Linked DNA regions of Mytilus edulis. The protein of the gene in region 3 purifies or fractionates together with the protein of the main gene of each other region. This does not show direct contact. Links are inferred from orthologs where the notes say so. Each region holds a gene or a part of one and is shown on either strand. Other genes may lie near its edges.

Evidence for each region. Proteins that work in one complex are often made in the same cells at the same time.
Region 1: the proteins of E3 ubiquitin-protein ligase RBX1 (region 3) and F-box only protein 22-like purify together in Homo sapiens (affinity purification with mass spectrometry; 4 studies listed by BioGRID). This does not show direct contact. The link is inferred for Mytilus edulis from reciprocal best matches to the Homo sapiens genes RBX1 and FBXO22.
Region 2: the proteins of E3 ubiquitin-protein ligase RBX1 (region 3) and F-box/WD repeat-containing protein 8-like purify together in Homo sapiens (affinity purification with western blotting; 6 studies listed by BioGRID and IntAct, with this or other methods). This does not show direct contact. The link is inferred for Mytilus edulis from reciprocal best matches to the Homo sapiens genes RBX1 and FBXW8.

The regions. Positions count from the first base shown.
Region 1 is NC_092347.1:84,613,467-84,621,161, forward strand, and holds the start of F-box only protein 22-like, read left to right. Parts: upstream 1-4,061; 5' UTR 4,062-4,130; coding exon 4,131-4,228; intron 4,229-6,284; coding exon 6,285-6,417; intron 6,418-6,997; coding exon 6,998-7,196; intron 7,197-7,695. Other genes in the region: interaptin-like, read right to left, coding at 3,880-3,953. UniProt on the Homo sapiens protein: Substrate-recognition component of the SCF (SKP1-CUL1-F-box protein)-type E3 ubiquitin ligase complex that is implicated in the control of various cellular processes such as cell cycle control, transcriptional regulation, DNA damage repair, and apoptosis.
Region 2 is NC_092349.1:74,090,256-74,098,754, forward strand, and holds the start of F-box/WD repeat-containing protein 8-like, read right to left. Parts: upstream 3,635-8,499; 5' UTR 3,499-3,634; coding exon 2,992-3,498; intron 2,226-2,991; coding exon 2,121-2,225; intron 767-2,120; coding exon 602-766; intron 203-601; coding exon 114-202; intron 1-113. UniProt on the Homo sapiens protein: Substrate-recognition component of the Cul7-RING(FBXW8) ubiquitin ligase complex, which mediates the ubiquitination and subsequent proteasomal degradation of target proteins.
Region 3 is NC_092351.1:23,908,852-23,917,364, reverse strand, and holds the start of E3 ubiquitin-protein ligase RBX1, read right to left. Parts: upstream 3,604-8,513; 5' UTR 3,541-3,603; coding exon 3,445-3,540; intron 1,966-3,444; coding exon 1,938-1,965; intron 1-1,937. Other genes in the region: uncharacterized protein, read left to right, coding at 4,970-5,091, 7,483-7,886. UniProt on the Homo sapiens protein: E3 ubiquitin ligase component of multiple cullin-RING-based E3 ubiquitin-protein ligase (CRLs) complexes which mediate the ubiquitination and subsequent proteasomal degradation of target proteins, including proteins involved in cell cycle progression, signal transduction, transcription and transcription-coupled nucleotide excision repair.

The DNA.
Region 1 (7,695 bases), on a different chromosome or scaffold from region 3:
GGGACGGATCGACTTGGGCCGGATCGACGTGGGGCTGGATCGACCCGAAAGCTCACTATTTGGAAGTCCGCAAATTTTGACAAAATTCTGCGCCACTTGAACTTTTGATACCATACAACAATCTCTTTTCCATTGTGGTGTCAGATATATTCCATTGTGACATAACATTCACAGGAATCTTTATGTTTATCATTTCCAGTAATGTCTGACAAATAGAGATAAGGTATATAAACATCCTCCTGTATATCCTCCTCTCGTGGGTTTTCTGTGATAATGCATTATAACGTCACACTTACAATTGGAAATAAGAATTCATATGACATATAGGAAAACATTTGATCTAACCATACATTTGTGAGACATCTTTTTCTTCTTCTTTAGGTTTCTAGCGATCCTTCAATTATTGAAGATTATTTGCCGGGCGTCGACTATAAAATTTATAATTTACATTTTAGCAGGGAAAAAAAAAAAATCAAAAATAACAATATAAATAAAAAACAAAATAACGTATGTACATTCAAAAAAAAAAATTTTGATAAAACTATATACATTTGATAACAGAATAGTTAGGGATAGAATATGGGGATGAGAGCAGATTCTGTGATCATACTCTTAAATCCCTCTACTGTACTGCATGATACTATTTATTGTGGCAGATAGTTCCAATTTATAATTGTTCGTGGATAAAAAGAATATTTATAACTGTCTTCAGATGTTTGTATTTGCCTAAATGAGTGCGGATTGCTATGTCTGGTTCTATTGTCTAGTGGTATCAAAAGGTTATGTGTAGGGACTGCAACAATTTCATGAATAATTTTGTAGAAGAAAACAAGTCTGTAACGTAAGCGCCTAATTGCGAGTGGGTACCAATTTAGGTCTGTCATCATTTCAGTAACTGAGCTGGTGTTATGGAAGCGATTGCATGAGAAGCGTGCTGCTCTTCTCTGAACTTTTTCGATTTGTGTAATTTGCTGTTTTTGATGTGGATCCCAGATTGTTGAGCAGTACTCTAATTTTGGTCGGACAAGAGCTTTATATGCATGTGCTTTAACTTTTGGAGAGGCTATTTTTAGGTTTCTACGAATAAATCCAAGGGACTGATTTGCTTTTGATGTCATGTTATCTATATGTTTGTCCCATTTTAAATTTGATTGAAGAGTTAGGCCTAAATATTTTGTAGAGTCAACTTTTTCTAGAGAGTGATTGTGTAATTTATAAGTGAAGTCTAAAGGTTTGCGTTTTTGAGTTACACTGAGAATGTTGCACTTATCAGGATGAAAATGCATGAGCCAGTCCTGCTCCCACCTGCCAGCCGCTTCTAAGTCAGACTATCTTAATGTGCTATGTTCAATATATTCTGCCAAATCGTTAATGAAGATTAAAAATAAAATTGGACCAAGCACTGTGCCTTGAGGTACCCCAGATGTTACAGGTATTTTATTTGATGTTTCACCTTCAAGGACTACAGTTTGTGTTCTGTTTGTTAAGAAATCTTGAATCCAATGATATGCATTGCAATTTATACCGTAGAAACCAATTTTGTACATGAGGTGGTGATGTGAAACTTTATCAAATGTTCTAATAGTTTGCAGCAGATGCAAGTCAATGATATTGGGCGATATTTTATTGGATCGTGTTTGTCGCCTTTTTTGAATGCTGGACATACACTTGCGTGACGCCAGTCATCTGGGATCTTTCCAGAGTTGAGTGATGATTGGAATATGATTGTTAAGATGGGAGTGATGGATGATTTACACTCTTTTAAAATTTTACCATGGATGAGATCAGGCCCAGCTGCTTTGTTGATGTTAATGTTATTTAGAAGTTTTTCTATGCCCTGTTGTTGTATTTTAATATCAGGCATTTGTGGATGTTTACTGGCGCCCTTATCTGGTATTGGGTCATCTGTTACAGGTGTGAATGATTTTTTGATCTGTTCATTTAGAATGTTAGCTTTCGCTTTTGAGTCAGATGTAAGTGAGCCCTCTTTTTGGAGTGGTGGTATATTAGAGCTTTCAGACTTTTGTGTTTTTATATAACTGAACAGATTTTTTGGGAAGCTCTTTGATATGGTAGTAGTGTTGTCATCAACTGGTATACCACATATCATATTTTCAATATAATTCCAATAAGATATTCTTTGTTGTTTTTGTATATCATGTTTTAATTTTTTGAGTTGGTCTAGTTTCCCCTTGCCTTTCAATTTGTACTTTTGATATTTTTTCTTATACTTTTTCATTTGTCGTCTAATACTGTCTGTTATCCATGGTAAATTTTTGCTGTTTCTCATCATTTTCTGGGGTATGTTCTCAGTGATAGTGTTTTGTAATGAGTTTTTAAATGTTAACCAAAGAGTGTTTGTATCTTCACTATCTTTTTTATATACGATCTTTTGATATATTTCATCGATATCCTCTTTTATTTTTTGCCAGTTTGCATTTTTATATTTGTATACTTTACGTGGCTCGGTTTGGCAACTTTTTAATGAAAGTAAACATTCTATATATACAATATCATGGTCTGCCTCCCCTAATGGTGGCATGGTTTCAGTTTTTTCAATGATGGCCGGATAATTTGTTAACACAAGATCTAAAATTTTGTCATTTCGAGTTGGTATGTTTACGACTTGTGCTAATGGATGGTCATTTATTATATCTAACAGTTGTTGATGTTGTTTTTGGTTTGCTTTTCCAGGGATGACGCTAGTTGTTTCCCAATTGATGTTTCCTAAATTAAAGTCCCCACCAATAATTATGGCTGACTTTGAGTTTGCGTTTATTCTGCTAATGGATTCATTTAGTAAATCTAAAGATGTATCATCATCTGGCTGAGGTCGATAATAAGCACCTATATAACATTTACGTGCATTTGATATCAATAGTTCTACCCATATCATTTCACATCCTGTGTCTAGTTCTTTGAGTTCTGTACATAAAAAATTATTTGATATAGCTATGAGTACGCCTCCATGACATTGTCCTTTTTTATTTGGTGGTCTATCTTTTCTAAAAACTGTGTAATGATCTTTTGAAAAATATTCATAAGAAGATGTTTTAGGGTCTAGCCAGGTTTCAGTACCTATTATGATATCAGGCTGTGTGGTATCGACCAAAATATCTACTTCTGGTTTTTTGTTCTTAATAGATTGAAAGTTGATATTTACTATTTTTAAAGGTCTGAGTAACTTATTTTGGGTATTTATACCTTTTTTGTTTTGTTTTCTGGTGTCCTTTTGTGATATTGGTGATGAACAAGCATGTGGCTGTCCAGGACTACCAATGTCGCTTAACAATGAAAAAGAATTGTTTGTGACTGATGATGATATGTCAGTATGGTTGAAGAATGAACTGCTAAAGTTTGGGAGTCCACATTTTAAACAATTCCAGGACAGGTTACTGTTGTCCATTATGTTATACATTGTTGTTTGCATACCTCCTTGGCAGTCTACATGGTACCAAGTTTTACAAGAGTCGCACTCTAGAGCTTTACATTTCCAAGTGACATTTTTGCCACATGAACCGCATGGCCAGCGTGGCATTCTAGGGCCTGGGTTGAGTTCTATTTGACCACTTAATAAAATTTTTAACAACAAGTGATGGTTTTTCAGAGTTGCATGTAATGCTTTATTGCAGCAGTGTATTTTGCATGAATGATATAGCCAGAAATACATGGATACAAATTTGTTCTCTGTAATGTTAATTTTTGGAACAAATAACAAAGCATGATGATCTTCAGTGTCTTTTGGGTAAGATTTGATAAAGGGTGATCTACCTGTAGTTTTGCCATTTTCTAATGACACAAACTTATGACATTTGTACAGTACAAAGATTTTTATTTAGTGTGAAAATTCCACCTATCAATTTCAGAATCTATATCTACCTGGCATCCTTTGAGGCTGTGTGGTCCACCTGAAATGAGTGTACTTGGCTGGATCGACTTGAAGCTGACCCCATTCTGAACTGTCGAAACTGCTACATGGACGCCGCCATTTGTAAACAACGTCTTGGTTACTTCGGCGTCTCGAAAGCGCTTCATTCCAAATCAGTAACTCTTTCTTCTGAAGGTTTAAAAGTAACTCAAAATGAAAACAAAGCTGAACGAACTAATTTAAACGTGTTTCTTTTTAAGATATGGAAGAGTGTCATGTCTCAGAAGTGCTACGTCTCCCAGTGATTCTTTATAAAATTTTAAGTTTTCTTCCTTGCAAAGCTTTAAACTCGTGTTCAAGGTAAATTAAATGCAATACACCAGTATATATTTTTTTATAAGTACAAGATAAGAATCATTTCACATTTGACATCTTACTGATGGTGGGTATTAGTTATCACAAGGACGTATAACTAACATATATAACTAATATACGTCCTTGGTTATCCGAAATATTTAACATTGTTCATGAGTGTATTTGTTATAGTGATGTTGCACCCTTTTATTTATCTTGTTATATGTTTTTGTCTTAGACTCAGATCAACCTCCGATCTATTCTTACATCTGTTCTTATAATCGATATCAAAGTCTGACGTTACTTTCTCAAATCATTATCCGATATTTCAGGATAAGAATGCCCTTTACCGTCAGGTGTCAATAGATTATTTCTGCGAACATCTGCGTAAAATTTGTAAAAATTCTACCGTGATTCGTCAAAATGTTCTTATCATTATTCTTCATAGGTCTCAAATAATTATCCAAATGGTGAAGTTGAAATCTTTCTTAGTAAATTTTCCGGACGCCATCACAAGTTTGTTGACCTTTATGGAATTACCGTTTCACAAATGATATCAGAGATGTTCCTTATGTCGCTACTTCAATCCCCTTCCCTTTTCATGAATGTAACCTACCGAAATAGACTATTTACTGGATTTGTATTAATATGAGCAACATGACGGGTGCCACATGTGGAGAAGGATCTGCTTAGCCTTAGGAAACACCTGAGATCAACCCCAGTATTTGGTGGGGTTCTATAATGTTGCTTAATCTTTTTACTATTATTTGTCTATTAGTCTTTTTCTTTTATCATTTTATAGCCATGGTCATGATGGTGCTGTCAGCTTATTTTCAATCTATAAGTTTGACTGCCCCTTTGGTATCTTTTGCCCCTCTCTCATATATCTAATGACTCTGTAGTTGGGCATGTGACATACCAGATTTCAAGCTGCCGTATTTTCTGGCAATGAAAATACAACCATACATGCCATATGAAATAAGAGACTGCAAGAGGGTTAGAAAACTATTTATTTAAAAACAAAAGCAGAAATGTTATACATTTATAAATCAAATTGTACATTTTAAAACCAATTTCTATACTCCTCTTCAAATGCAGTGAACAGGATTAATTAAATTGGATGAATGTTTATGCCACCCCCCCCCCCCCTTACAAGAGGGGGCATTAAGTTTTACCCTTGTCCCCTTGTCCTTCTAGATCTGTACATCCACCCGTCCCAAAATTGGTTTTTCGTTTTTTCTAACTTCAGTTTGCTCAACTAAATGTTTTGAAACTTATACATAATGCTTATTACCACAAACCACAGATCAAGTTCAAATTGTGTTGGCTTTACTTTTGCTGTTCTTGAGTTGACTAGCTACAAAAATGTAACAATTATTAAGGCCCTACCAAATGGCGTGTCGCTTTATGGTGATTAGTTCATCTGTCCATATGAAACAAATTGTGTCCGCTCTATATCTAGAGAACCGTTATGATTGCAAAGTTTATACTTGACATGTACCTATATTAACAGACACCTGGAGAGGATGTGTCATAATTTTTGTACAACTTCCTAGGTCAGAGGTTAAGATTTAAAACTTTTGTTCTAGTTGACGACCCCATGTCCTCTTGTAGAGTTCATGTCTGCTCCTTATCTTTAGAACTGTTATGATTTCAAAGTTGATGCTTGATATGTATATTAACGAACTCCAGAGGGTTTGTCATAATGTATGTACATCTTCCTAGGTCATAGGTCAAGGTAAAAAACTTTGGTTTCAGTTGACAACCCCATGTCCTATGGTTAAAATTGTGTCCACTCTTTATCCTGAGAACTGTAATAATTTCAAAGTTTATACTTGACATGTATATTAACCAACACCAGAGGGTGTGTCATAATGTATGTACAGCATCCTCAATGATCCTAGGTCAAAGTCAAGGTTAAAAACTTTGGTTTCAGTTAACAACCTCTTGTCCTATGGTAAAGATACAAATTTTTACCACATGGGCCTACAGAGATGGCTCTTATCTCAATGAAAGAGCCCAAATAACATTCAAGTTTAATATTTAAAAAAATTGATTTCAGAGTATGTAAAGTCTGGAGTGAGTATGCAGCAACTATTAAGAAAAAAAGAAAGAAAATAGAATGGATGTCATTAGAATGTGATGAAGAAGAGGGTCTGAACAGTAAAACAGAAAACTTGTCTGCCTTCATTGAGGTATTATTGTAAAAAGTGATAGATTTTATTAGAGGTTTTATGTTATGGCAGTGTTTATGGGTTTTTTTGTCAAACAGTGAACATTGTATAGATTTATTTTATATATTTATGCTTTCATTTATAGCAGATATTGTGTTAACTATTGATATCTAATTGTATAATGACCTAACATATTGAGTAGTTGACCACTAGTTTTCTAAGGAGTATGCAGCGGTTGGAAATATAAAATAACACTATGTTTTGTTTTAGTTGTTGTTCAAAACATTGATATTCACACTTGTTAGCTGAGCTAATTTTATATCAATTTTTCCAGTCAATCAGATATCACACAATTAAAAGGATACAGTTTAACTATATATATCTATAGATAATATTTAAAAAAAAATATATAATTGCACTTTTTTGTGGGAACCCAAAATATTTTGAAAAAAAGACTTTAATACTTTGTAATTTCCCATTGCAATATGCTGAATAGATCTAATGACTTGGGGAGGGTTCATTTTAAGTTTGTTAATGATTTTATTTAGATTGATAAATTTAACTTGGATTTATTGCATGTTTTGTGCATTTGTCATTTCAGCAACTATCTAGTGAACCAGATCATGTTTTAATGTTTTGTACATCCAGACTCTATGAAACTCCAGTCAGTTTACCATCATCTCATCCGACAAGGTTTCCACGCAATGCAAAGTGTGAAGCTGTCGAAGTTACCTCCTTCGTTGAAAAACTTTTACCAAAAATATGCCCAATGTTTGCATTAGTTGCAGATGGGGTTGTAGGTTTGTATATATTTGAATTATTAGGTGCTCTAATATAAAACACAATAGTAAATGTTCAAATTATTAAACATTTAAGAATGTTAAATACTGAATTTTTAAATTTACTAAACACATTTAATTGGATCTTAAAGCAGATTTCTTCAGATTATTTGTAGCGCATCAGTTTATGAAATATTATTGAAAGTTTTAACATAAACATGTAAACATAGAAAATATCAAATATGTATTGGATAAAATGAATTTGCAACTGTATAAAAAAAAATGAAGATAGAATAAACCTAACTGAAAAAAATATTTTTCTTTTGTGTATTTTTAAGTTGAATGTTTTGCCAAGAGTGAAGTCACATCTGGAGATTAGAAAATTTTCAGCTGGAGGTTTGGCCTCATTATCATATCATTTTAAGTTGATGTTTTCAGTGTTCATTTTGATAATAAAACTACAAATAAAATCCAGTTTTATAAAAATGTCCATATTTACATGTTTGTAATAAAGCTGTCT
Region 2 (8,499 bases), on a different chromosome or scaffold from region 3:
ACAACCCTAAACAAAATTATATACATTTTTATAAACAAAATAAATAAAATTCTAATTTTATCATGTCTAACATCCCAATATGTTTATGTTCTATTTAATGAGGAAATAGTTACCCAGCTACAATATTATCACCAGAAGAATTAACTGCACATAATATTCCACCTGGAATATGCTGTAACTGTGTAAAACTTCCCAATCTGTTCTGAAACACACAATTATATATTTTCATGACTTAAAAATTCTTTAAAATAAAATTTGAATTGTACAGGATGTTCTAGTTTTTACTATATGTCAGATATTTGATAATATCCTCTGGTTTTATCCATGTAAAAAAATAAATTGCATTCTAACCACCAAATTTTCTTTTTATAATTTCATTTCATATAATTTAAAAGGCCATAAATAACCATCTTATAAAATTCTTGTTATTTCTTCATATTGTTTGAAGAAAAAAGAAGTGCCAATGTTTAATGTATATATTAGAGATAACCATTTCCTGTCAAATTTTTAACGCTTGTATCTGGAAAAACAATGACACTGACCTTAACTTATTGCTTTTTCTATGTCTGACTTTAGTTTATAATAATTATTATATATGTACCTTCCAATTATATACAAGTCTTCTTTCCTGTTCAATATGATGTCTAACTACAGTCTTCCACTTGGATTTATCTACAGCATCTGTATCTTGTTCATAACCAAGCTTGTGACAAATTCTATTCCATAATAACTCATCATCTGCTAAACTTTTCCAACTCTTTGAAACCTAAAATAACAAACCATGAGTAAACTATTAAAGTCATTAAGGAAATTGACAACACAAAAAATATTAAATAATCAATGTGTGTCATGTGTCTTATAAATAAAGTAGATATACATATAGAGTAAACATCAACACAGAAGTAAACCAAAAACAAAATCAGCCTTGTATCAACATCCTGGTTTTAACAAAAGTATATATTTGTATCTGAAACAAAAAAAAATATCATTAGAGGTTTATCATGTTTATACATTGTATACATGATATACAGCAAGGGTCCAGAAACAGTCATATTTGCCAATCTTGTCCTAAACTGAAAGTATTTTGTCCTAAACGTGTAATTGGGATTTAGGTCAAATTCTATTTTTCAACAGAAATAATTTCGGTCATTTCTTGGAGATCGAGTTTCAAAATCACCATTTTGAAGATGTTTTTGTTTTGTTATCGATTTTATATAATTAACCTGCCACTCCAGTAGAGTGTTATAATCCTGAGGGCCCTCCTAATAACTATATTTAATGCCTCGGGGAGCTATTGGCTAATGATTGCTAATCTCTTTACCTGTGTTTTTAATTCACACCTGGTTATTAATCACAAGCTCTGAACTAATATTATAAAGAAATTAAAATTCCATACCAACTGTCTTCGTTATTTAATTACTTTTCAGCTTAGACAATTGTCAATTATGATTTATTTGAAAAAGTATTTTTTCACTACTAACACACGTGCTTTGTTTACCATGTAATATGCTTGCTTGAAATGCCCTTCCGCAGATTAGACACTAAATCGTAAATTTAAAATGATTTTATGCTAAATAAAGCAAGTGCAACTATTTTCATTAATATTCTTACACTTTAAAAGGTAAAATATTAAAAAGCTGATGATTTCCTGTGAATTTGATAAAAAATACTATTCCCGGAAATTAGTCTTTACATTTGGTTTAAATATCGACTTCAGAATCGAAAAAACATAAGCGATGACAGAGAAAATTATCGTTTTGAGTCAATAAAATCATTTTATTTTTAAACAGTTGCCTTCCCTTAATTGCTCTTGACCGATTTTAGGAAAATGGTAGGATAAATCATGAAGTAAATGCGATGCAACAGTAAACAAGTTCGTTGATGCTACGAGTATGAGCATACTGAGTAATGAGATATAAAATTTGGTATTCGTTGAACATTTAATTTCGTGTTTCATCTGTTGCCACGAAATCCACGAAAATTGTCCACAACAATGTCCAACAAATTATAATGAATCCACAGTATCAGGATGAAAATTTTTCTAATTTCAAATTTTACACCAGGTGCCAACCATATAATAACTACATATAAATATACATGATATCATTCATTGCACTCACCTGAGAACATCTGCACAAGTCTTTGAGATCAAGAGGTTCAAATATTTTTATTGCAACCTCCCTTGGGACTGTCAGATCAAAAAATGGAATTTCATTTATTTCATCCTAAAATAGAAATTAATAAATTAAAAACAACAGCAAATTGATTTTTATTACAACTCCAATTTGGTAATCAGTTCAGACATGTTAGAAGACAAAAAAAACTGTTGATTCTTTTCTATTACCTTCTTCTTGTCTCTGTATGAGTCTCCTTTAATTAGGAGCACCACCATGAGTTATGGCGTAAAAAGGAGGACATTTGGAGCCTGTATCTGTACAGATTAGTGTGAGCATTTGCCTACCCAATTCCCCAGCCAGGCTGTGACGGGTCTTATTACCAGAAAGTTAACCTTCCCCAAACATAATATAATGCAATAAAATAAAACATACTAAACTCACACACTCATCTGATTCGATCAGTCCTCAAAGTATAAAAAAGTGCAAAACTATATACATAAAATGGAACAAGGTCAGCTTGGATGCCCAACAAATGCTGTGGCAAAATACGCTAAAATAGTAATGAGGAATCGGTTAGGACAAAATACATATCAAAACCGACACTTTACCATAGAAGCATGTTTATATAAAATATGAAAATGCTATTTGATGAAATTTGCAAGACAATCAATTTTGATGTTTGGTTTCAATTCTACGTTGTTGTGAGAACTAAGATTTATATATAGGAAAATGTTAACATTTCCTCCAATGGAAATCAAATTCTATTGGTGTATCAGCATTATTCATAGTATTGGAAATATATATATATATAAATGTAGATTATGTAACACTGACAAATGTTGTATATTCATTAACTCTATAAAAAATATCTTACCAAATCAGCAATAAACAAGTCTAAATAGCTCTCTTTATCAACCTCCTTTCGACCTTGTTTATTGGAAAAGATGTCTTTCACGTCTTCCTTTCTGAATGCATCATATTTTCTTTTCTTCTCACAGGTGCTTGTCACTTTAGTATTTGATAATAACTCTCTTTCCGGACTACAACTTTGTTTGATGTTATCTTTTGAATTAAGAAGACCATCAACTATTTGGAATGGGTAGAACTGAGTGTTGGTTTTATGTTCTTTATTTTGTTTATTGACAAATAAACAAGTATGGCACTTGTTATTTTCCCTAAAAGCTGGGTGAACTCTGCACTCAGAACAATTTGTTGGATTGGAATTCGAGGTATTAGATATATTTTCTGGGAGGACAATATCGATTGCTAATGTAGGAGCAACAGCTATTGAACTTTGTCCTCTTTTATCTGGAATGACATTACTCCCTTGAAGTTCGTTTTTCCATTCAGTTCGGAACTTTTCAAGGTCATTTGATGCCATGCTATGTGAGTATGAAATATAAAGTTAACAGTGCATATGTATAGTTAAACTTTCAACGGGTCAAACTCTAATAGATAACATACTTCAATGTACAGCTGTACATGTGATACTGTAACGTTTGTTTACGTTCGTCTCGGAAGCTCTCTAATTCTTCATAAAAGTTCGATCAATCCGAAAAGACTTTTTAGGTCTGCCCTATTACCATATGAAAATTTAGAAAAATTCAGACAACTATTTCCGTAAATTATAAGACCGCATGATACAAATATTATGAAGGTCTTTGTGGGATTATCAGAATAGAAAATAATGGAAAAAAATAACATGTAGACAAAAATGTACAAGCGTGGTCTAGTGGTTAAGACCGATGGCTACAGTGCTGAAGGTCCCGAGTTCGATTCTCACTCGGGGTGCTAAAAATATCAGCACATCAGAAGGGTAATTTTCACCCTCTCACACACATCTCTGGTACCCAGACCGGAGTTTAAACTAGAATGGGTACTTTGGGGGCCTCGGTTGGTCAAAGTTGTCCCTTACTTTGACCTGGAGATCAATCTTCTGATATCTCTCTGGTTTGTCTGTTTTCCACCGAGTGGCCCGGTGGTTCTCTCCGAGTACTTCGGCTTCCTCCACCATAATAACAGACTGCCCGGTGTCCTAGCACTCCCTTTGTGTTGGGTGGGGATTGATTGTCCTTGTAAAAATAATTGTCGTATAAACATACGTTAGTGACACATCTCCATTAATCCCGTTAGGGAGTGTACATGGATGCCACTGTACCCTCGCAGTTTTCGAGGGGTTCTTCGGATATCGGAGGCATTTACCAGTACATACATACATACATACATACAAGCCAAGACAGGAATATGACAGTTGTTTTCGTTTGATGTGTTTAAGCTTTTGATTTTTGCCATTTTATAAGGGACTTAAAATTTCCTTGGAGTTCGGTATTTTGTGTAATTTTTGATTTATAATAAAAAATATTTTACCTTTTTTTCTTCAAAATTTCACTGTTAAATTTGATTTGAGCTTCATTGGGATGTAAAATTCAGCACCCAATCGTAACTACTCGGCCATTCTCGCTACGCAGTACAATAGCCTCGTATGCACTACGGAGAAATTCTTCTTAAATTGTTGGCCGGAATTGTAGTGATCCGCGACACAAAGAAGTTCTATCCTCCAGGTGGCGCTATAATTTGGTTACATATCACAGTAATCAAGAACTTTAACTCTGCCAAATATTTTGGCGCGAAAGAAGGAGCAAAGTAAATAAGTAATGGTAAAAAATTTGTACCATTCCAGTCGAAAAAATATAAAATTCAATCAGATCGGAAAATTTTCCGGACAGGAGCAAGTTAAATCAGTAGTGGTAAAAAAAATGTACCAGTCCAGTCGAAAAAATATAATTTTGAATCGAATCGGAAAATTTTCCGGACAATGATTCCTCCGCCTAATGCATACGAGGTTATTTCTTCGTGCAACCAGAAAGGCCGAGTTGTTCCGATTGATTCAGCACCAACAATCCATTTGCATGTTTGCAAGTGGAGACATGTGCTGGCTTTGCTCTAGTTACAAACAAAAGTAGATAGTACTGGGGTGCTGGTTTTGAGATGTAGATGAATCAACAATATTTCATATTACAATTTTCCCCCGTATCTTCTCCTTAAAATGTATTTTAATCGGCATTGTTTTACATGAAGCACGTGTAGAGATTAATACTTTTACAAAAATCATTTTAAAGGAAGAAGGTAATTTCCCTGTTAATATTTTTTTTTCTTTCAATAAACAATTTTTTTGATTAAAAAATAGCCATGGCACTTGTTATCTTGTTATCTTAACTTTTTACCCATTAGCTTCGCAGTATTAATTAGAGGATAGGCGGATTTCTCTTAACCCTAACCCTAACACATCATAACCTATCGTACTGACATAGATTATTTAACTACGAATTTGATTGAATACGACATGACAGATTGAAATGAACACAGCATTGACATAATAAAAGTATCAAACACAATACAACATTTAAAACCAACACATAGACTAAGTTAGTAAAATCATGGATAACTTGTATTTGTTGATGTCACAATCAAGAAAAATGGGTCGGGATTTTAGGCACGAAAAGTGAAGAATATCCGTGGTCATCTATATCACAGATATATTCCATACAGCAAATCAAATTATGATGGTGTCCGTTATTAAATCATCACTGAAAGAATTACTTACTTTTTACATTTAGGAGCCTTGATACAATAGCTTCGAATTCCTTGTAAGCAATAATGCTCCATCGAAGAAATCATAAAGTAGAACGCAAGCTAAGGATATGTATTCCTACAGGAATGTAGCTTGCTACATAACATAGAAAGTTCAAAATGGAGTAATTAAAATTATTTTCTTTGCCTTAAATTTAGCTCTCAGCGAACCTTCATTGTGAATATCTAGGTATAAGTTTTTATCATATAGTATAAACTTGAGAATGGAAATAGGGAATGTGTCAAAGAGACAACAACCCTACCAAAGAGCAGAAAACAGCACAAGGCCACCTATAAAGATCTTCAACACTATGTGAGAAAATCACGCACACAAAGGCAGGCTTAGACCTATTTGTATATGTGATTTGTCTGTTTCAAGTTTGAAAGGATCAAGTGTGAATTATTCAGCGAGAAGGATCGTCGTTATAATGTGAGATGAAATAATAGATCATATCAGAAGAAAATGACCTCAGTCAATTGGTTCCCACATAAATTCCGACTAACTGTTAGAAAACACGTCCTCCAAACGTATCAAAAATGTGGTCAGTAATAAAAATCAAGCATCGTAATGATTATTGTCAGTTTCACAGTACTCAGTGTTTTTGTGTGAGGATTTATCTCTAGCTTCATGAAACCTAAAACAAAATATTCGTATCTGTGTTGACAATTTTAATCATTTTTAAATCTTTCTTTGTAGGAACTAATTGGTAAGTTGTAAATTTGTTGGGCACAAGATGTTTGCGCTTTTTTTTAACCTGTAACACGATATGACATCTGCGCTCCACAGACTGTGGTCATCTGCCCTTTAAATTTTGATACAATTGTAGTAAAATTCGCACTGACACCGTCTTAGTTTAAACATATTTGTTTATAGGGAATTGGGAAAACAAGTTATTTCAACTTATATCAATCCCTTTCCACTTTGCGGGTGCGAGTGTTGTCTTGTAGCGGCATTAGCCTACTCTTTTTCGAAATCTACAAGGGTATCTTTTACGTGCAAGCTGAGATATGGCTCTCTCTTAACATGGGTCAGCCATTTAACGTCCCCTTCCGACGGACTAGAATCGATTCCTTCGAAGACCATACTCGTAAATGATGTCAAGGGAGACACAGTCTCAAACATTAGAGTATAAAAATATAGAGACAAGTACAGGAAAAAATGTTTATGTCACGATGGATTTTTACCGTTGAACAACAGTCGGCTTATAATATTAGCATTCGTTATATATTGACGAACAGACATGTCAGTCAAGAAATGAAAAAAAGAGACTAGAATCTATAATACTAAAATTACGAGGTCCAATTTGTCAGCCGTCATCGGGTAAAAACGACAAATCAAAGAATTCAACTCTATATATAACTAATATAGGACAATGGTGTAGATTAAAAATTACACCACTCCAGACCCTTTTGTTTTCCACATAATTAATATTGCCAATAATTAACAAGTTCCGGGTCGAATCCGATACCGATACCAATAGTATATTCACCTGTCAGCTATTACCTTATCTGTACGTTCCGCATTTGACAGGCGCACCACCAAACGGTGTATTTAGGATTTTACTATATATACGGGTCATAATCAAAGGGCTGACACTACTAAATTCAATCATTGTCAAATTGTTCCCTATTGTAGTTTTATTCAGCAATCAGCAAGACTTTCTAAGATAACTAATATAGGACAATGCTGTTGATTAAAAAATACTCCATTCCTGGATAGCCAGGACCTTTTGTTTTCCAAATAATTAATATTATTATAAATAACTGATAAGTTCCAGGTCGACGGGTTCAAACAGAAAGATTTGAAAGCAGAGAAAACTTTTTATCTTATAATCGACATGACTTTATCAGATGACAATACTAATTACTAAAATAAGGCTTAGGCATAGTTATATACTTTAATTCAGCCACGGACCCGCGATATCACGGGTGTGTACTTGTATATAATAAAAATGAGGGGAAAATACCAGTCAGGACAGATTACAAAAGCAAAATTGTTTATTTCTTGGGCTTCAGATATTAGGCGAAAACTGGCCTGTGATAACTTTATGTGTCTTTGGTGTCTTCATAATGTCAAATGTTCACTTTTAGGTATACATATAACTATATCAATGCGCTATAAAATTATTTTTAAACGCGAATGTGTTATAGAATGTTTAACTTTTAACCATAAAGAAATATTGTAAAATCGCAAATGTCTTATGAATTGAAGCGCGAATGTACATTAAAAAAAGTGCAAACGTCCCGATTTGAAGCCAGTGAGTTCATGGAGAAGAACAAAACGTCTCCGAAAATGATAATAAAGAACTGAGGATCATTCAAATCGAGAAAAAAAATAACTTTAGTAGAAACAGAAACATATATGTCTATGGTAGGAGTTTTTTTTTTTTTTTATAAAAATGTGTTTTATGTGAAGTATAAAGCAGAATTTTCAAATTGTGAAAAAGACTTTTGATCTCTTACTGTATATACTGATATGCATTTGTACATTAAATGCAACTAAAAATGGTTTTGAGAATTGTTCTGTATCGAAAACGTACTGAAACTTTGACATTTTTAGTTATTCCGAATTTTTGCATTTTTGGCGGATCCAGGGGGTGGGGGGTGGGGGGGGGGGGGGGGTCCGGGGGTTGAAACCCCCCTTTTTTGGCCGATCAATGCATTTGAATGTGGACATATAGTTGGAACCCCCCCTTTTGTCCTGGGTTGGGAACCCCCTTTTTAAAATGGCTGGATCCGCCCCTGTGATGTT
Region 3 (8,513 bases):
AAGAAGTTTTGTAAACATTTATATATATGTAAGTCATGTAAGTGATCAACAGTTTTTCCCGGTTAATAAATATTCTTAAAATGGGAAAAGAGTGATATACATGTGGGGCAGACATTTCAAAGTTATCATGAATTGGAACAATGTGTTCAAAAGTATCAGTCGATTGATTTTATACAATTGTATATAAAAACAAACTCGGAGTCAATTGCAGCTGCAGAGAAAAGATGAACTGGAAAAACAAAAAATAAAGAGGAAATCAAGTTTTACAGAATATTTTTTTCCTGTCATTCACGGAGGCAAAAAATTCTAAACAAGTTCGACAGGACAAATTAAGGCCTAATACATTATTTCTGGAAAAACAAAGGCCGATGCCAATAATCTTCAATGAAAGCTTCGTTAATACATGTACAGACCTTCTAAAATTCAAACTGACCATTATTCCGTGCGTTCATCGTGTATCGTGCGTGTTGCGTGCGTGCATCGTGCGTGTATCGTGCGTGTAACAATCGTGCGTTCATCATTCATCGTTCCGTGTATTTTCCGTGTAACGTGCGTGCATCGTGTATTCTTAATCGTGTACATGTAATAGATAACAAAATGTTTGACGAAAATGTAATTTAAACCTTCAGCGCATCAAAAAATATTTTGCCTCTGAGGCGTGGAAGCAACTTAAAATTCGGAAATTATATATTATCAGATTATAGGACTATAGTTTACAGGGACTGTATATTTCATTTTCAATCAGTACATGTGCATTTATTATATATTATCAGAGACGTCTCTGATATTATTAACTTATAAATACAATTCGAAAATATTATTTGTTATACCAATTCCTTGCCTTCACTCATTCTACTCGAAATCCCCATATTATCGATAATTTCTGTATATATTTCACGTTTAATTCCCGATTTGATTGCATTTTATTATAAAACCGGATGTGGGTACGCGTAGCCTACGAATGTCAATTTGACTATTCGTACCCACATGCGGGTACGCGCAGACACTGCCTATTAAGAAGGGATATAATTACGATACTGTTGTCAAGTCATTAAAGATTGCATATTTTGGCGTTAATATTGAGTCACTGATAAGGTCTTTGCATCGGAACTAAACACATTTATTCTAAAAACAGTTGTTGGCATGACACGGGTTATGTTCTTCTCATATATGTTACGACTATGATAGTATGATACTAAACCCCTAACGGGAAGGATTGTGCCTGATGTTCATATGATGAAATCATAATCTTTCAGTCAGTTTAATTGAAGTCTGGAGCTGGCATGTCAGTTAACTGCTAGTAGTCTGTTGTTATTCATGTATTATTGTCATTTTGTTTATTTTCTTTGGTTACATCTTCTGACATCAGACTCGGACTTCTCTTGAACTGAATTTAAATGTGCGTATTGTTATGCGTTTACTTTTCTACATTGGTTAGAGGTATAGGGGGAGGGTTGAGATCTCACAAACATGTTTAACCCCGCCGCATTTTTGCGCCTGTCCCAAGTCAGGAGCCTCTGGCCTTTGTTAGTCTTGTATTATTTTAATTTTAGTTTCTTGTGTACAATTTGGAAATTAGTATGGCGTTCATTATCACTGGACTAGTATATATTTGTTTAGGGGCCAGCTGAAGGACGCCTCCGGGTGTGGGAATTTCTCGCTACATTGAAGACCTGTTGGTGACCCTCTGCTGTTGTTTTTTATTTGGTCGGGTTGTTGTCTCTCTGACACATTCCCCATTTCCATTCTCAATTTTATATAGCTAAGGAACACTGAAAACATTCACCACTTAGGACTGGCACATTAAAATATGTGACAGATTTGAAGAAAATAACTCCTGTCTGAATTCAAATGTAAAACTTCTATTCATTGATGTACTTCTAATATTCATCATCATGTCCACCTGAACTAATTTATCACTTTAATAGTGTACATACCCCAGGCCCATAAAGCTACAGCATTCCACTGAAATAGAAAATATTAAAAAATATACTTCTAATATACAAAATGGACAATCAAGTTACAATATGACAGATACAGTTGTATGTAACACTATCATGACTATTGATATTGGGTGTACAGGTTTGCAATTCACAGGCACTTGTCTCAGAATTGTTTTCCCCTATATACCTTTAAACATGTTAAATAATATAACACAAGGTACTTTAATACATGTAACTCACATTTTTCAAAAAATGTCACACGGTCACAAAATTCTGTTATATTTCAGTTTCTCGGTTGTCTTATTTGAAATTAGCTGATTTTTTAACTAATAAAAACACTTGCTATCATCATGATCATAAAACATTGTTATCACATGTAGGAGGTGCGCTTTTGTAGATTTCATACCATAGGCATAAATTAAAAAGGAAATAAGTGGTTCCTACAGGGTGTGTCTTTTTACCACCAAACATCACCGAAAACCACTGAACATCATAAAAACCACCAACCACTAAGATAAACTGTGATATTATACAATAAACATGATAAAATGATAAAACAAATTAAATTAGGTATAATTTAAACAATTTTTAGATTTATATGGGCATCATTTTTATGTTAAAGTCGATAATCAATATAAGGAAAACGTCTCAGGATTCATCACTTTCCGGATTACATTGTGTGTGTTAATATTCATATTTAGTAATCAGTTCAAGTATCCTCAATCTCTGTTCTCGGTTAGATTCTGATATTTGTCTATTTTCTTATTATTGGGACAAATGTTTTATAGAAGAGATAGAAGAAGAAAAAAACGGAAAAAAATATATTTGAGGTGTCCATGGGGGTCTGCAGAGTTCAAAAAGTGGGGTGTTATAGACTCTCCCTTTCTGTTTTCTGTAGATTTTTGGACTCTTAATCTTCTGATTTGTTAAATTAATAACTTGAATATAATATTTAAGACACATTTATAATGATGAAAGACAAAATAATAAACTTTTAAGGTGTTCGGTGGTGTGCGGTGGTGAAGAGACCTACCGGTCCCTATATCATGTATATATATATATATATACTGTTTTTATAACACCAGAAAAACTGGAGTGTACTCTGAAAACAAGGAATACCCAACTTGTCATGACTTGAGCTCAACCTGAGTAAGGCCCTTTGCTTTTGGCCAACTCTAAAATTAGTCCAAATAATTATGACTTCTTTGGAGTCTTGGAAGGCTATTTTTAATTTTTGCTTTGACGTCTTACGACCATGTTAGGCATCAAAGAAAAAAATATAATAGCCTTTCAAGATGTCATACTTATTTGGACTACTCTAAATGTATCTATGATATTAATGATTATGTTCATAATTGAGCTTTCCTTAAATGTTTAATAAAATGTTTCGTATTTTCGTATTTCTAAAATAGTAAAAATAGAACCAACAGTAACACTCAAGATGCGTAGATATTATTTCCGAAAAAGGAATGAGTTTGTGTAAAAGGTCGAAATGTTTTACTTTTTTAACTTCGAATCTCTTCTTTCCAGCTTTGTCTGCTCCCAAACCTGAAGATTCTCCAAGATCACCGTCATCGACATCCATAGCAGCAGCCATTATTTATGAAATTTCCGGCCTTCTAACGTCATCGTCAAATCAGTGCTAAAGTCTTGAGGAGTACTGAAAATTAAATTTGTAGATTTTTATGTGTAACGAATCTGTTAGTTCTTCTGGGTATCAGGTCGTTCCGGCCCCAAGTCGATTCGGCCCATAATTAAAATGAATAATTACTATAAAGGTCGGAGAGTTTGTCAAGTTTTTGATTCAGCGTAAATGAGAAATTGCACATAAATAAAGTTCAGTAAATTTTACTGATTGAAGAGATATATTTTAGGATTGTTAAAACAGATAAATCAGAAGCACGCCGACACCTTTGCTCATATTTTTTTCTGAAAGAGTAATGACACTTGGAATTATCAATTGGGCCTATATGGATGTAAATGGACTATGTTGGAAATTCGAAATGTCATTATAGTAATCATTCCACATCCCAATGTAATATAAATGACGCCATGGTGACCGTGTTGACCCGAGACTACTCTTTGTCATAGTGGTCTCAGTGTTCCCTATCTCTGAATTTCGATGCAGGACGTTTCGCCAACAGTCATTTCGGCCACACTACCAGTTTGGCAACAGTCATTTCGGCCATGCTACCAGTTCGACAACAGTCATTTCGGTCATGCTACCAGTTCGGCAACAGTCATTTCGGTCATGCTACCAGTTCGGCAACAGCTACTGGTCATTTCGGCCACACTACCAGTTCGGCAACAGTAATTTCGGTCATGCAGCCAGTTCGGCAACAGTCGTTTCGGCCATATGCTGCCACGAACTGAGTTCGGACAAACTTTGTAAAGTCATTAATTGCGGCCATGATTTTTATATAAAAGGACGTACATGTTACGTATAACTAACATACGTCCTTGATAAAAGGTAGAAAAAGATTTTTTTTTTAAATTTAAAAATAGTAAAAAAAAAACCAACCATATTAGATAAAGATGTATTTTAATTCAGTAAAAAATGTTACAAAAATATTCGTAAAGTTCACAATCAAATTGAAATAACATTTTAAAAACAAGATAACTTGTTGATAAAAAGTGATGTATATTAATTTAACAAAATATGTTTATCCAGAAAAATCCTCCTTTTTCACAACCAGTGTCTACTGAGAAAAAAAAATTCAGCTCGGTGACCTTGATTTTATACATGTCTGACATTTTTACTTGGTTTTGAATCTATCACAAAATATACTTCATATTTTGGCTAAGTTTGACAAAATTCTTCCTTTTTTTTATTCTCTATCATACCTCTTGAATGCATAATAAGGCAAAGTATGACCGAAATGCCTGTGGACGAACTGGAAGTTTGGCCGAAACGACCTGTGGACGAATTGGTATGTGACCGAAACGTTTCGAACGACCGTCTTTCGTTTCGTCTGTAAATCCGTTAAATAATTTATGTACATGTTGGAACATCTCGGAAAGGAAACATGTCAACTAACCAAACACCAGCCTCCAGAGACCATAAACATGGTCCTGGGGAGACAGAAAGTGCGGTCAAAGATGGAAAAAGTCCTCCTAATCATCCAATATTTGATGCAATCAAATCTGGGTAATTTCAACATATAAATCCAACCAAATCGCACACATCCGTCTCTATCTCTCTTGCACATCATCTGAATCTATAAGTTTTACATGTTTCACTAATGTTTATGTTTTACATAGAATTTTGTAAAGTGAAGTAACCAATAATATAATTTAAAGGGATTCTATTTGTTAGATGAAGCAATGAAAACGTGTTCAAAGTTTTTGTTTAATTTAGAAATTACTGTTTGTTTACTATGTTGCTAGTCATTTACATAATTACAAGGTTTAATAATAGCTACATTTTGAGGTATATTGTGATATATTAGCTGATTGCACCATATTAGTGTCACCCTTGTGTCAATTTTATGCCCTATTTATGGACATTATGTTTTCTGGTCTGTTCGTCCGTTTGTCTGTCCCGCTTAAGGTTAAAGTTTTTGGTCGAGGTAGTTTTTAATGAAGTTGAAGTCCAATCAACAGTTGAAACTTAGTCCACATGTTCCCTATGATATGATCTTTCAAATTAATAGAGTTTTTACTCCAATTTCACAGTCCATTGATAGGGCGAATGGGGCATCTGTGTACTATGACACATTCTTGTTCAAATTATTTTGCAGTTTCTGCATTAATAAAATTGAGAATGGAAATGGGACAATATACCACCATGACCACGAATACTAAATCATACTTGTGAGTGCAGTTTAAAACTTCACAGAATACTAATTTGTTTTTATTAAACTTTTATTATTATTCTTGGTAGGATTGATTTTTATAGTAAAATTAAAACATTGAAAATTATAGGAAGCATAATGCTTCTTTATACATGTAGTATACATTGTTATACCTGTAAATTATTAAATTATCACGATTATCATGATTATTATCCAAATGAAAAATAAGAAACTGAAATTTCTTTGAAAAAATCAATAAACATCATCATGATCATGTGAAAGGCATTTGCCTGATTTTGATTTGTAAATATGAGGAAGGCATTTTACTTCAGACACTATTTAAATGTCACCCTCCCATGCAGATCAATAATGTATTAATAATTCAAAAGACAAGGAATTGAATTCACTATCAATTACTATTTAAAAGACAATGTTCAGTAAAAGTTCTACGTTTCGGCCTTAGGCTTTTTCATAAAACTGTTAACAAAGCATAAATGCATGTTGCTTAACTTTTATTTCTTTTCTAATGATGTGTTACTTTTGTATATGAAGTCATAGTTTACTACTTACCCTTATGATTTTTAAATGACAATACTGACTGTTGACAGAACATTTAGTTTGATAAATTAAATATCAAATGAACAGATATCTCAGAGAGTGATATTGTATACTTATTGACTGGGTATAAGTGAAATAGTAAGTTTTATTGTTTATTGTCTCCGAGGTGCAACTATTGCCCTGATGGGGGGTTCTGATCCCGGATCCTGCTTACTGTTTTGTCAGATTCACGTATCCGGCTTATACTATGTACCTAAGCAATTCTAATTTTTTTGTAATTTCCCGTGTCCCGCTAGACCTTAATTCCCGTTTTCATGGCACAATAATTTGACTTTCCCGTATCACGCTTACGAAAAATCAGCAATCCCGCGTCACGCTTAGACCCCAATGAGACCCACCTGATGCATATCTGAGGGGTCAATGAACTTACTGTTACATGAATATCCAGTCAGCATGGTCAGTAAGTGTTTTATTTGACCAAAGAGACATCAGACAATAAATGTTGGGGCTAAATCAACTATCGTATAAATATAAAAAACAAAAACACAATTATATTGTTTCATGTTTACTTCATTATCATATATATTCTGAATGGTAAAGCAGTTTAAACTACGTTCTGCACTGATAAAACCCTAGATAAAAGGGGTAAAACTCGATGTTGCAACCCCCACGGCATTCTGAAATTAGTCAATACTGTAGCTGCATTTGAAATTCTGCGATATATGATGACGTTTGCGGTTAAATAGTTTCACCGAGGTCCAATAGTTGGAAACTATTGACTGGTCCAATTAAGTTCTACGCTTGCAATTTGAAAAAATAATGAAAATATTGTGTACTTATTTTATATACAAAATGATGACTGAGGTATAATAAAGCAGATTGTTGCCTTGGTAGACAATGTTTTCACAGAGTAACTATCTGCTCTCTTGCCCTCTCAGCTAAGTCATGTTTGTGTTTTAAAAAAAAGCATATAATAGCTTAAATGAGCTGGTAAAAGCAGAATTAGCTATAATTTAACTGTTTACATTGTATACTCCTACATGGCCTACATTGTAGGTAATACTTTATTTGTTAAAAATAATGAAATTTGACTTAGTTTTCACCATAGTTATAAATATACTGTACTGTCTGGACGTACATGTACCGTTAAGGCTTAAACATGTTAAAAACTGTGATTTTTGTTTCAGTATGTTGGTACCAGTTCAGACAGCAGCTGAAGATGGACCATCAGTTTTCTCACTCCGAGATGACAAAGGACACACTCCTGCCCATTGGGCATGTCTTGGAGGCCACACTGTTATACTGCGATTCATCTTAGACAACAAAGGCCCTGTTGATGAGGCCAGCAATAATGAACTAGGAGCACGTCCAATTCATTGGGCTTGTGTGAATGGACATGTAGCAATAGTTGACATTTTACTTCAGGCAGGTGTTTCTATAGATGTTGTTGACAATAAAGGGTGTACACCGTTAATAGTGGCAGCACAATATGGACATACAATGTTAGCTGGTTACCTAATGGGTAAAGGAGCAAGACTACAGATAGTAGACAGGGATGGAGACAATGCATTACATTGGGCAGCATTTAAAGGTAGAAATTTAATAACATGGTCATAACATAGTATAGCATATTGTGTATTTCTTCAGAATCAATTCAATTAGGCAGCTTTTAAGGGTATAAATTTGATACACAAGTATGTTGTGTGTTTCATAAGAAAGATTTGATCTAAATTGTTGACAGAAAAATAAAAAAATGGGTAATAATAATAAATACACAGAAACACATGGATTAACTTTGTAGTAAGTTATTTGGAATACAAATAACCATAAGGTGAATACACACCACTATGTATGAATTAAGGAGATGGGGTATGATTACCAATGAGACAACCATCCAACAGAGTCCAAATGATGTGGATTTAAGCATGACTATCAATACTCTGAACAGTGGGCAAATATGGAGTAGGAGGCACTTGATTCATGTGTCCAAGTGGTTTACTACAGATGTGTTGCCCTTGAAGACAAAAGATATATACAAGAGGAAGCATCATATACATATGTACACTGAAACACTTCTATGAACTGTTTACTAAGGTTAAGTTTGAACGTACATGTATGCATGCATGTCAAAATATGAAATGAGGTGTGATGTGAAAAATATCATCAATATTTTTTACATCATTTTTTACTGATAATAGTTGGGATTTAGATTGATTGG